Linked DNA regions of Caenorhabditis elegans. The protein of the gene in region 1 purifies or fractionates together with the protein of each later gene. This does not show direct contact. Each region holds a gene or a part of one and is shown in the gene's direction. Other genes may lie near its edges. The genes, in order: ufm-1, rfgp-2 and eif-2A.

What was found.
Region 2: the proteins of ufm-1 (region 1) and rfgp-2 fractionate together in Caenorhabditis elegans (co-fractionation; one large-scale study listed by BioGRID). This does not show direct contact.
Region 3: the proteins of ufm-1 (region 1) and eif-2A fractionate together in Caenorhabditis elegans (co-fractionation; one large-scale study listed by BioGRID). This does not show direct contact.

What each region holds. Positions count from the first base shown.
Region 1 is NC_003281.10:7,856,953-7,860,012, forward strand, and holds ufm-1 (Ubiquitin-fold modifier 1), read left to right. Parts: upstream 1-2,026; 5' UTR 2,027-2,028; coding exon 2,029-2,117; intron 2,118-2,187; coding exon 2,188-2,383; 3' UTR 2,384-2,560; downstream 2,561-3,060. Other genes in the region: tag-307 (ApaG domain-containing protein), read right to left, coding at 1-23, 70-154, 199-290; coq-5 (2-methoxy-6-polyprenyl-1,4-benzoquinol methylase, mitochondrial), read right to left, coding at 472-897, 944-1,206, 1,336-1,504; tomm-7 (Mitochondrial import receptor subunit TOM7 homolog), read left to right, coding at 2,661-2,798, 3,058-3,060. UniProt on the Caenorhabditis elegans protein: Ubiquitin-like modifier which can be covalently attached via an isopeptide bond to substrate proteins as a monomer or a lysine-linked polymer.
Region 2 is NC_003280.10:5,426,936-5,431,307, reverse strand, and holds rfgp-2 (ARF GTPase activating Protein), read left to right. Parts: upstream 1-1,735; 5' UTR 1,736-1,740; coding exon 1,741-1,818; intron 1,819-1,904; coding exon 1,905-1,956; intron 1,957-2,001; coding exon 2,002-2,141; intron 2,142-2,191; coding exon 2,192-2,365; intron 2,366-2,410; coding exon 2,411-2,845; intron 2,846-2,894; coding exon 2,895-3,205; intron 3,206-3,260; coding exon 3,261-3,426; intron 3,427-3,482; coding exon 3,483-3,581; intron 3,582-3,632; coding exon 3,633-3,734; intron 3,735-3,826; coding exon 3,827-3,859; downstream 3,860-4,372. UniProt on the Caenorhabditis elegans protein: GTPase-activating protein for the ADP ribosylation factor family.
Region 3 is NC_003280.10:10,415,182-10,419,784, forward strand, and holds eif-2A (Eukaryotic translation initiation factor 2A), read left to right. Parts: upstream 1-1,624; 5' UTR 1,625-1,655; coding exon 1,656-1,680; intron 1,681-1,736; coding exon 1,737-1,809; intron 1,810-1,861; coding exon 1,862-1,939; intron 1,940-1,993; coding exon 1,994-2,126; intron 2,127-2,179; coding exon 2,180-2,360; intron 2,361-2,432; coding exon 2,433-2,713; intron 2,714-2,766; coding exon 2,767-3,609; intron 3,610-3,657; coding exon 3,658-3,756; 3' UTR 3,757-4,048; downstream 4,049-4,603. Other genes in the region: frpr-21 (G-protein coupled receptors family 1 profile domain-containing protein), read right to left, coding at 4,049-4,191, 4,243-4,418. UniProt on the Caenorhabditis elegans protein: Functions in the early steps of protein synthesis of a small number of specific mRNAs. Acts by directing the binding of methionyl-tRNAi to 40S ribosomal subunits.

The sequences.
Region 1 (3,060 bases):
GCAAATGTTTTGTGAATGAAAATCTGCAATTTAATATTTTTGCAAAATAACTGGATTGAGTCAACCAACTTGTCCAGCTTCAAATGTTGGTTTATTAGTTGATGGCAAGAGAAGTCCAATTTCTTTCAATATTGGCGTTGTGGCGCTTCTGAATCTTAAAAATGATGATTATCGAGTCTGAAATCATCTATAAATTACCTTGACAGTAAGACTTTCCCAGCGGAAAAGTTTCTTACACTGTGCTGAATAGCACTTCGAAGTTTCATATCTGAAATTGTTGGAATAAACATGAATTTTTTCAGATTTTTTGAGTAACAACGGGAATAAACCACGGAATCATAGATGTCAGGAAATACAAATATAACAACTTTAATTAAATTTATGCAAAAATTCTACACGAAAAATACTGAATATCACCTAGAAAAATGGAATTAAATGAAATTTTAAAAAGAACAAACAAACAGGAATAAATTATTTTCTTGGTTTCATCCCCTTATGAATCGAGCACACTCCAAATGTCAAATTCTCGTATCGAACATTACTAAAGCCTTCTTCTCTAATTATTCTTGCAAACTCGTCTTGATTCGGGAATTTACGAATACTCTCAACCAAATATTGATAACTGGCACGATCACTGGCAAGAATTTCTCCAAGAACCGGGATCACATTGAAGGAGTATGCATCGTAAATTGGTTTCAGTGCAGAATTCACTTCTGAGAACTCCAAAATAGCAAGTTGACCTCCAGGTTTGAGTACACGAAAAGCTTCACGAACAACCTTTTCAGGGTGTGTACAATTTCTGATTCCGAAGGACATTGTGAACAGATCGTAAGTGTTCGACTCAAATGGCATTTGCTCGGCGTTAGCGCATACCCATTCCGCGCGAGATGGTTGGATCTGAAGTAATACATTAAGGATATGGAATTTTTTCAAAAACAATTACATCTCTCTCCTTCTCCGCTCGTTTTTTTCCAACATCGAGCATTGGTTGATTAATATCGGAAACTGTCACTTTTGCGGTAGGCGAATGTCTGAGAATTCTGAAAGCGATATCCCCGGTTCCTCCTGCCATATCCAGACATTTCGCATTATACGGTACTTGCAGGCCACCAACATAATAGTCTTTCCATAATCGGTGAACTCCCATGCTCATTGCATCATTCATCAAATCGTACTTTTTCGCGACGTTTGCGAAGACGTGGTGAACTAAAAAAAGACATATAGTATCAGTAAATTATATAGATGTGTTGGAAAAGGGCTTATTTTATGTAGAGAACTTTGTGATTATTATTTGTGGCTATCAGCTTTTTTACGTTTCTGAATCGAACAGCTAACCTTTCTGCTCCTTCTCTGCCTCATCAACGTCAGTGAATCCAAAATGTGTTTTCTTTCCGGGCTCTGACCGTTTATTATCTGAATTGACTTGATTCACCGAAAACTGCCGGAAATTTCCAACGTTCGTAGGTTTTCTCATGCTTTTAAATAAGTTTGTTGCTCCTTTCATTCTGAAAATAAATGAGTTTTAATTCGGACAAAAGATGAGAAAATTTTGAGAACTTAATTGCGAAGTTGAATGATAAATTAAGTGATAAAAATCACGATACTCTGAAAGTTCTTGCAAGAAATATTCTACCGCATTTTCCCGTGGAGATTCCTAGGCCATCACTCCATAATGAATTTTGAAGAGACGTATTTCTCGTTTTTGTGGTATTTGTACACTAAATACTAGCGTTCGAACTACAATCTTCATTTAAATTTCACTCGAACTTTAACATATGAAAAATAATTGAATTATATTATAGTTCTTGATCACGCCATCACTGGCCTAGGTTCCGTCAAGTGGCCGAGTTTTGTAAGAGACACTTGGCATTTTTCCAGTTTTTCTCTCCTATTGTTTTTCAGTTTTTCAGGTTATTTTGTGCATTTCTGTTATGTCCTTTTCTTTATCAATTTGTTCGACTTTTTAAAAAACAATTTTTCAAACAAACTGGACGATTATTATTGATTTTATGCGAGAGATTTTCAGGAATGTCGGGTGGAACAGCAGCAACAACTGCCGGTTCCAAGGTGACCTTCAAAATCACTCTAACAAGTGATCCGAAGCTCCCATTCAAGGTGTAAGTTTTTATATTTAAATTTTCGGTTTACTTTTGATTTGGAGTTTTGCGTCATGCATTAATTTTTCAGCCTCTCCGTGCCGGAAAGTACCCCATTCACCGCCGTTCTCAAGTTTGCCGCTGAAGAATTCAAGGTCCCTGCGGCTACATCAGCAATCATTACGAACGACGGAGTTGGCGTCAATCCAGCTCAACCTGCCGGAAACATTTTTTTGAAGCACGGAAGTGAACTTCGTCTGATTCCACGTGATCGCGTCGGCCATTGAGCATAAGCCAATTGTTGTCTACATTCCTGTATTATGACATAATTATTTTTACAAAATGTGATGTCTCTGTGCATTTCTATCCTAAACTCGCTAAGTCAGATTTGAATATCTAAATTCTTCTAAATATTAATTTATTGAAATTCCCCTTTCCAAAGTACGCTATGAAGCTTTTTTCTCAAACTTGTTCAATCAATTTATCAATACTGGTTGCTCTTCCGCATTTTATCTTACTTTTTTAAAACTACTTTACTTTTAGTCTTATATTATTTTATTTAAGATGAAGCTCTCCCCAGCTACCAAGTCTTTCATCGGTAAGACAGTCGATATTTCCACATTTGCAATCCAATGGGGATTCGTGCCGTTTGTGGTCTACCTTGGATTTAAGAAAGGCGCTGAGCCAATGCCAAATGGACAGGTAAAAACTAGAAAAAGAAACATTTAGTTTTAAAATCACGTCTCCGAGAGAGCGTAATAAATAAAAAATGCGTCCCATAATACACAAGATTCAAACATTTATATAGATACCGCATTTTCTTTACAAGTTTCTCGTTGTGTAAATAGAACAATTGCATGCGAGACGCTGCCAATTATTTTTTAATTTATTTGTCAAAAGTTTAAGTTTTACCAAAAACACCTATGCTTTCAATTCAAAGATTTAAGAATTCATATTTCAGATC
Region 2 (4,372 bases), on another chromosome or scaffold:
TTCACTTTTTCAATTCTCAAATGATACAATTGCTCTTCAAATTCCATATCTTTCCTTTTCAATCCTTCCTGTTCGATTTTGTTCTTTACATCTTCATTCGCTTCCTTCACATGCCAATCTTCTTCTATCATTAGTCGTTTAATGCGTCGAGCTTCTTCCTTGAATTTCAGAGTTTGACGATCGACTTCTTCTTTTGATGGGATTCGATGCACATGTCTGGAAATGTAGTCTTATTTCGAAAGTTTTGTGTGAATCTAAGTATACCTGATTAAGAAATAACCACCACAGATGTAAGGAAGGAGCAGCAGATTTTGAAAATAGAGTAGGAGCAATTCAACATAATACATGAACATTTCACGGGTAGAAATTGCTGAAAACGTAGCATTATTTCAACAACCGGTACCTCCCACATATCTTTTGGCAACAATAAAGTAAGCCTGCCTAGGCATAATGAAGCTAGATGCTCACCTATATATTTCCTAGAAGTTTCCGATTTCGCATTCCTTATTTCAAAGCCAAAATGGATGATAAGAATTATATAAAGCACGATAAGATAGACTTTTTTGTAGATTTTCAATGCGTAAAATATGAAAAGTGCAATTAAACCCTGAAATTTTTAAAATTTATTTGCAATTCCATTCGGAAAATCTCTCACATTCTGTAGTGATTTAGTGGCACTTGTGCATGATCTCGTCGAATGGTGTTTATTGAATACCGGATTTATAAGCTCAAATCCATCGATCTTGAATTGCTGAGGCTGACAAACTCTCAAATTTGATCAAACTGATTAGGCTTTTAGGCTCAAATAAGCTACTAACATTATCGAGTAGTATATGGGAATGAAGCTGAAAAATATGAGACCAACTGAATACCAACGAAGATGTAGCTGGAAGAAATCAATTACTCTCAGAAACATGTTATTTGAGCTCACTCTTAAATTGCACTTTGCTTCAATAAAGGCATAGGTTCTTTTATTCAATTGCTTCTCGAATAATGGTTTACCTCATCTTCAACATCTTCCAATTCGGTTTCTTCGAGAGAGTGACCAACTGATTTATCCACTGATTTTGATGCACGTTTACGTGGTGTAACTACCATATTTTTTGAAAATACATTTTTTGAGGTAATTTTTCCGTCCACAGTCGGTCTGGTCGTTTCACGTTTCAACCAAAGGTCGAAGTATAATATTTATAATGTTATTTCACATTTTAAGCAGAGCATTGTGGACTAATCAGAAAGTGAGGCATTTATAACTTTAGTTTCAAAATTATGCTTTAAAATGTATGGTCATCTACAATCACTAGCTGTTATAGACACCTGTGTTTCACTTAAATAGAGAAACTTTCTTTCTGAAATAAATTAATTCATTTCCTCGAAATGCTCGTGAAATTCCGTGCAAAGTCCGCAGCGCGGTGTTTGCGTACTTTCGACGTGTAACTCGCTAAAATTATGTGAAGCCGGCGCAACTGAAAGACTACAAACCAACGTTGAAAATGGCTTAATCGATAGTTTTCAGTTAATTTTTTCACCAATTCTTATGTAGAAATCATTGACCATCATCTCTTATCAGTGCAACAACTTCCTGATCCACTAAGCGTTGAACGCCGATTTTTTTCTCTAATTTGGCAGAAACCGGTTTCTTTTCATTGATTTTATGTTCGCGTACAGCCATTTGACAGCTTTTCCCCCAATCTTTGCAAACATGTGTACCCAAGTTATTGATTTCATTTTTCAGGCAAAATGTCCGACGAAAATGGGCCTTCCAAAGTTGATTTGCAGACAGCAATGAGAAAAATGAGAGCTCTCCCACCGAACAAAGTAAGATTTTCATTTTGCTGTTGATTGAAAAATCTAAATATATATTATCTTGAAAATAAATAAAAAACAAAAACGTATTTTTTCAGCTCTGCTTCGACTGTGGTGCGAGGAACCCCACCTGGTGCACTGTCACATATGGTTCGTATTTCAAATAATTCTAATCACTCATTAAACATTTTTCAGGTGTATTTCTCTGTATTGATTGTTCTGCTGTTCATCGTAACCTCGGTGTTCACCTCACGTTCGTCCGTTCCACCAATTTGGATACAAATTGGACTTGGCTTCAGTTGAGAGCCATGCAACTCGGAGGAAATGGAAATGCGGTTAGTTTATTCGATATGAAACACAACTGTTGAATTCATTTTTTTTGCAGAATCAATTCTTCAAAGCGCATGGCTGCAATACCACTGAAGCTCAACAAAAATACAAAAGTCGAGCGGCTCAGATGTATAGAGATAAGCTCTCAACCCTGTGCCAGGAAGCCCAGCGAAAATTCGGGACTCAATTGATTATTGATACAGTAACTCATGCAGAGGAAAAGCCAGCTGTGAGTTTGACTGTTTTCATACTCGTCTTTATTTATTTATTTCAGGAGGAAGAAGATTTCTTCGCTCAAGATTTCGGTCACACTTCTGCATCTGCTACTTCCTTGTCTTCTGATGCATATATTGCTGATCACAAATCTGAAGACTCTACTCACGGTCCAAGCGTTGATCATCTCGACTCTTCCGTCGCTGTTCCTACCTCTGCTCCAGTTTCCGTGATTCTTAAAAAACCAATCAAGAAAGCCACTCTCGGCGCCAAGAAAAATGCTCTCGGAGCTCAAAAAGTGCGGATTAATTTTGATGAAATTGAGCAAAGAGCTGCTGAAAAAGAGAGACAGACGGCCGCCGAAGTTGCTGCGAACAAGCTTGCTTATCAAACAGAGCTTGATGGTAAGAAAAAATCCGATGATGCCGCTGCATTGCAAAAGCTCAGTGCCAAATTTGCCATGCAAGATATTGATGCTCAAAGAAAGCAAATGGAGGTAGGATTTCAAACAAATGACATTGGTTTTTAAAGTTAATATTTTTCAGGCAAAGGTTGCAAAAGATCCTACAAAAGCCGCTTCAGTCGATCGTCTCGGAATGGGAGGTGTCGGTAGATCCCGTGCCGCTCATTCAGTCGCTGGTGGTATTCGATCTATTAAACAGGATGATGTTCTTACGTTCAAGAAACCTTCACAGCCAAAAGAAGATGACGATTGGGAGGTTATTGATGATAAGTACGGAAAGAAAAGTACGAACAACGAGGATGATTTCTTCTCAAAAGACTATACTTCGAGTAGTAGCAAGAAAACAACAAAGGAAGATGATTTCTTTGACTCATTTGAGACGCAACCTGTGCAGTAAGTGAAATTATATAAAATTAATTTAAAACACGACTTTACGACTTTTTTCCAGAAAATCCCGCTATACCGCATCTTCTTCCTCTTCGTCAACATCCCGTGCACCAACGACTCGCCTGACTGCTGGAGCATCTCCAATTTCGGATGTTGATCTTCAGAAGAAATTCGGAAATGCTAAAGCTATCTCAAGTGATATGTACTTTGGAACGCCTGAAATGGATGTATGTTTTTATATTATTGGTAATATTTTTAAATTTACAATTTTATATATTTTCAGTGTGAAACAAGAAGTGCATTGACCAAGTGTGAAGGACAGACTTCATTTGGATCCGAAGATTTGTGGGGTAACGGAAGCCAGCAACGTCAATCTAGTCAAGTAAGCTCGAAGCTGTCATCGAAATTAAAATATTCTAAATCTAATTTTCAGGTTCCTGATATGTCTGATTTGAAAGATTCTTTCCGTGCCGGAGCTTCAAAGGTCGCTGAGAAATGGTCAACGCTGTCGAGTTCATTCTCTACTTACATGTCGGTAAGTAAATTTTTATTCCAAAGTTTTCTGGAGGTATTGAAAAAATATAAGACAGTTTAAAAATTAAAATAAGTTTATAATCCACAATTCAGCGTGCTCCTCCAGCAACTGGAGAAAAAACATAAATTCCTGGCTTTTAACGGCGAGTTTATCCCATCCGTAAAATTGGTTTTTAATGTTGTTTTCTTTTAGTTTTGTCTTTATCTTTTATTTTTCAACCTATGGGTTTTTGTATTCTCACTGAATTTCGGGTCTTTCAAAACTTTTTTACTTTATTTTATTGAATGTTGTGTGTCATTGGGTTTTTCAATTTCTTTTGTCGTTGTGAATGTTTCATATATCAGTTTTGTTGGGCACAAACTTAAGTTAACTTCCATTCAAAAAAAAACCTTCAAATTGAGAAAATCGTAATTGCAAGCTGTGTAGATTTACTGTAAACAACACACACATCCGGAATAACGGAGTGTCGTAGTTTATTTTCATTTTTTCGAATTTCGTTTTGTTTTAACAATTATATTTTTCTTCTAAATTCCTTAAGAGCGTTTCAATTTTTTTTTGTTGAAAATTGTCATGACTAGCATCTAACTCAGGGAAATTTAAAAAAATTTCTATAACTTGAAAATTCGCTTTGCATTGAG
Region 3 (4,603 bases), on another chromosome or scaffold:
TCCTCGTGATGATGAGACACTCAGATGAGAGACTGTACTCTTACGATAATCCACGTGTTGTTATCATAGATTAAACACCTGGGATGAGCAAGTAACGAATTTTTTGAACAGTTTTTCGAGGTTTTGAGACTTGAAAAATACGGAAGTTTCGGAAGAAGTAGGTAAGCCGGTACTGACTTAGTATAAGATTAGAAAAGGATCATGGTCTTATACTTTTAGAAAGACTTGGTAAAGAGTAAACTGAAAATGAGTAGGTGAGCAGTAAGAATTCAATTCTGCCGTTGGCGAGGGAACGCTTACAAAGAAGCACATATATTTTCAGAAAAAGCAGAATTACCGTAAATCGGATGCTTCTCAATATGGCACATCTACTATTTCGTTGCAAATATAACAATCTATCGTGTCTCGAAATACCACGAAAATCCAAATTTTAATTAATTTTCCGTAGTTTTTCTTGCGATTTGTAACAATTAATTTGTTTGAAATTAGTTTTTTATAAATTTCTATGAAAATTTTTTAACGAGAAACTATGAAAAATCGATGAAAAATCCGCAGCAACAAAAATTTTAAATTACAGTACTCTTTAAAGGCGCAGATCCGTTTGTATTTTACCAAGAGAGCGCGTGGCAAGACCGGGGACCGTATTTTCTAACGCTCGATAATGTTATATTCGAGTTTTTTTGAATTAAAAGGGGTCTACTTTCCGATTATGACCTCAAAAGAGTACTATAATTACAAACTTTCGTTACTCTAGAATTCTCCTCGATTTTTTATAGTTTTTCGTTGTAAATACATTTAATTATTTACAAAAAAACTTTTTTATAATTCAAAAACACATAAATGTTAAAAAATCGATGAAAATTCCACAGCAAAATTTGTTTTTGAAATTACAGTACTCTTTAAAGACGCACACCCTTTTGCATTAAAAAAATTGTCGCTTCGAGACCGGGTACCGTGTTTTTTTTGGCGAAAAAAGCCAAATTCAGTGCCTGGGTAATATTGTTTTTTTCATCCTTGAAAATAACTTCTCGAAATAAATTTTCAAGAGACCAATTTCAATTCCGCCTACGCGTTGTCTCTATTCAATTTCTTATTTTCATTCAGCGTAGCAATGAAATTCGAAATATTTGGAGAAAAGACAGTGGCTTCCATAAATACTCAGATTTTTGTCGATCGAAATACGACGAAATTCCGGAAATATTTATATATTGTGTAGCTTTAGTTTAAATTTAAATTTAACTCTGCAATTTAATATTATGCAATTAATCGATTAAACAAAGTCTTTGCAAGTTTGTAAACTATTTCTGCCTACTGTACTTTGTGTGCAAACACCGTGACGCAAACGATGCACTAAAACTGCATCGAATTAAAAAATCGAATTATTTTTTATTTTTCGAGGAATATTTCTTTTTTTTTTAACTGTTTCTCCCAATATTCAATTTTATTTAATCTTTTCCCGCTAGAATAATTTATTCTGGATACGGTGCGCGAAATTCTGCATTTCCAAATGTATGCCGGCGCCAAATACGACGCCATCTCGTGATTCGAATTTTTTCGTCATTTCCTCGAGCTTTTCTAATTTTCTCCTACTTCCTGAGAAATTTAAGACATTTTCTTTTTTCAGACTTTCTCAAACATTGATTCAGATCAATAAAATGGGTGATAACCTGGTGTACGCCGGTGAGTTTACTTTAGACAGCTTTGAATAGGCCGTAAAATTGCGAAATTTGTTTCAGTTCGATCAAGTGAAGGCTTCTACCTGAAGCGCGGGCTGGGCAAAGACGCGGTGACAGTTTTTGAGCAGAATAAGTACGTAATTCAGAACAATTATCAGGAATCAATAATTAAATGTATTTTTTAGAACCTCGAGAGACGTCGCTTGCAATGTGTTCGCTTACAGCAACAACGGACAGCTGTTCGCCTATTGCGATAATCAAGTGTAAGAAGAAGTTTCAGGAGAGGAATATATAGTTAAATAATGTTTTTTTTTTAGAACACGGGTATTCGAGATCGCAACAAACAAGGAGATTCTTTGTGTGGAGCTGAAAAGAACTCGGAAGATCTTGTTCTCACCAAAAGACAATTTCCTGCTCACATTCGAGCCATGGGCAGTTTACGGACCAAAGGTTTGAATAATTTTTTATTTAATTCAGTTTGAAAACCTTTTTTTCAACTTTAGACTGCAGAGAACCAAAAGCCAGAACCAAATGTGCGAGTCTACAGTCTTGCGGATGGAAAGCACGTATCAACGTTCTCAGCTCCAAAAGAAGCATCGTGGGAGCCTCAGTTTTCGGATGATGAGTCGTTGGCTGCAAGAATGGTTGGCAGTGAAGTCTTCTTTTATACAAACATGTCTTTCGGTATGAATTTCATGAATTTTCTGAAAATTGATATTATTATTACGACCGTTATCATAAAACTTATCTTTTCAGACCGTTACGACCACAAGCTTGTCGAGAAGGGTGCGACCAACTTCGCATTGAGTCCAGGTCCTGCTCCGAATCACGTGGCTGTCTATGTCCCTGCCGTTGGATCCACTCCAGCTCGCGTGCGAGTTCATCGAGTCTCCGAATCGTTCCCAGTCGTCGGCAATCGTACGTTCTTCAAATCTGACAAAGCCGTAATGACATGGAATCAGCGTGGTCAATCACTTCTCATTCTTGCTTCTGTTGAAGTGGATAAGACAAATCAATCTTATTATGGAGAGCAAAGTGTTCGTTTTAAAATTTTCTCAAATCTCCCCAATAATTATTTAATTAATTTCAGCTATACCTTATCAACATTCAATCAGGAGAGTCTGTAGTTGTTCCTTTGGAGAAGAAAGGTCCAATTTACGCTGCAAAGTGGAATCCCAACGGCCGAGAATTCGCTGTTTGCTATGGTTATATGCCAGCCAAAGTGACATTCTATAATCCGAGAGGAGTTCCAATTTTCGACACGATTGAAGGTCCACGAAACGATGTTTTCTATAATGCATTTGGAAATATTGTTCTGATTTGTGGATTTGGAAATATCGCGAAGGGAAAAATGGAGTTTTGGGATGTGGAGACGAAAAAGGAGATTATTTCGATCGAGGTGCCAAATACAACTCTTTTCGATTGGGCTCCAGATGGTCAACATTTTGTTACATGCACCACTGCTCCAAGGCTTCGTATAGATAACAGTTACCGCTTCTGGCATTACACGGGTCGAATGCTTGCTGAAACTCACTTCGAGTCTCCAAAAGAGCTGTGGGAAGTTCGCTGGCGTCCAATGACTGGATACAACAAGTTTGCCATCAAAGAGCTAACCAAGACGGACAAAATGGCCGCTGGCTTGCCAATTCGAAAGAAGGATGCATCTCATCCACTGAATAATGTTCCAGCAGGAGCAGTTCGTCAGGCTGGTGCCTACATTCCACCTCATCTCAGGAAACCGCTAGGAGGTGGAGGATCAGCTGGACCACCATCAGCTGCAGCACCTACGCCAGGAAACCAGAATCAACGGCCTGCACAGCCACGTGCTAATGGAAACGGAAATGCTCCACAACCATTCCGACCACAGCAATCGGAACAAGAAAGGAAAGCATTCCAACTCAAAAAGAAGGTTGAGGAGATTAAAGTTCTCAAGGTGAGTTGTGCGAAGTTTCAAAAATATTTTCAAACAAATAATTTCCAGCAACGAGTGGCGAATGGCGATCAACTTCAACCAAACCAAATGGAGAAGATCCAACGTGAAAACGAATATCTCTCAGAGCTCTCCAAACTGACCATTTAAAATTGTGTTCTTTTTTTCTGTGTTTTTCCCTCGATTATCATTTTTTTGTTTCTCTTTTCTCCCGATTGACTCACCTGTTTCCTATGAGTTTTAGACTTTATACATTCGAGTGAAACCTGAAATTTTTCCCCAGTTGTTTTGAATATCTATTTATCAATTGTCTTCCATATTCTTTTAGCCTATCTTTTTCTCTCCCCAATCTCTTATTATGATTGTTTATTTCTTTAATTATTATTGTCATAATATGAACTCCCGTAATAAGAGTAACAAAAAAGTGATGAAATGAAGGAAGTTACGAGCTGTTCGTCTCGATGCTCTTCTCTCGTTTGATGTAGTCGGTGATCTCCTGTCGCAACTTTGGATTACACTTGGCGTAGATGAAAATACGAATTGCCGAGGATGCCATATAGCAGATGGAGACAGTATCAGACAAAACTGAAATGGAAAAGTATTTTATTATTATAATAGAAGTTTTTAAAAACTAACCGATATAAAATGTGCTCGACTGCATTCGATCCGTGGATTCGTAAAGATAAGATGGATCGAACCTCTCAAGGATCGTCAGAAAAAGATGAACGCCATTACAAACCAAATATGAAGTGACAATAGCCAACATCGTGTAAATTGCATTTCGAAGCTGTGATCGCTTACTTCGGGATGATCTGGAACAAAAATAATTAATTTTGGAAAAGAAATGAGCTCCAGTGAGCTCAAATGTGCTTCTAGAAGAAGTTGACATGTTTTAACATCGAATATGTAGAAGTTCAAAGCGCCAGCTCTTGGTTTCACATAAATATTATTATAGGACCGCAGAAAAAAACTGATCGACATATTAGCGCGCTCCACG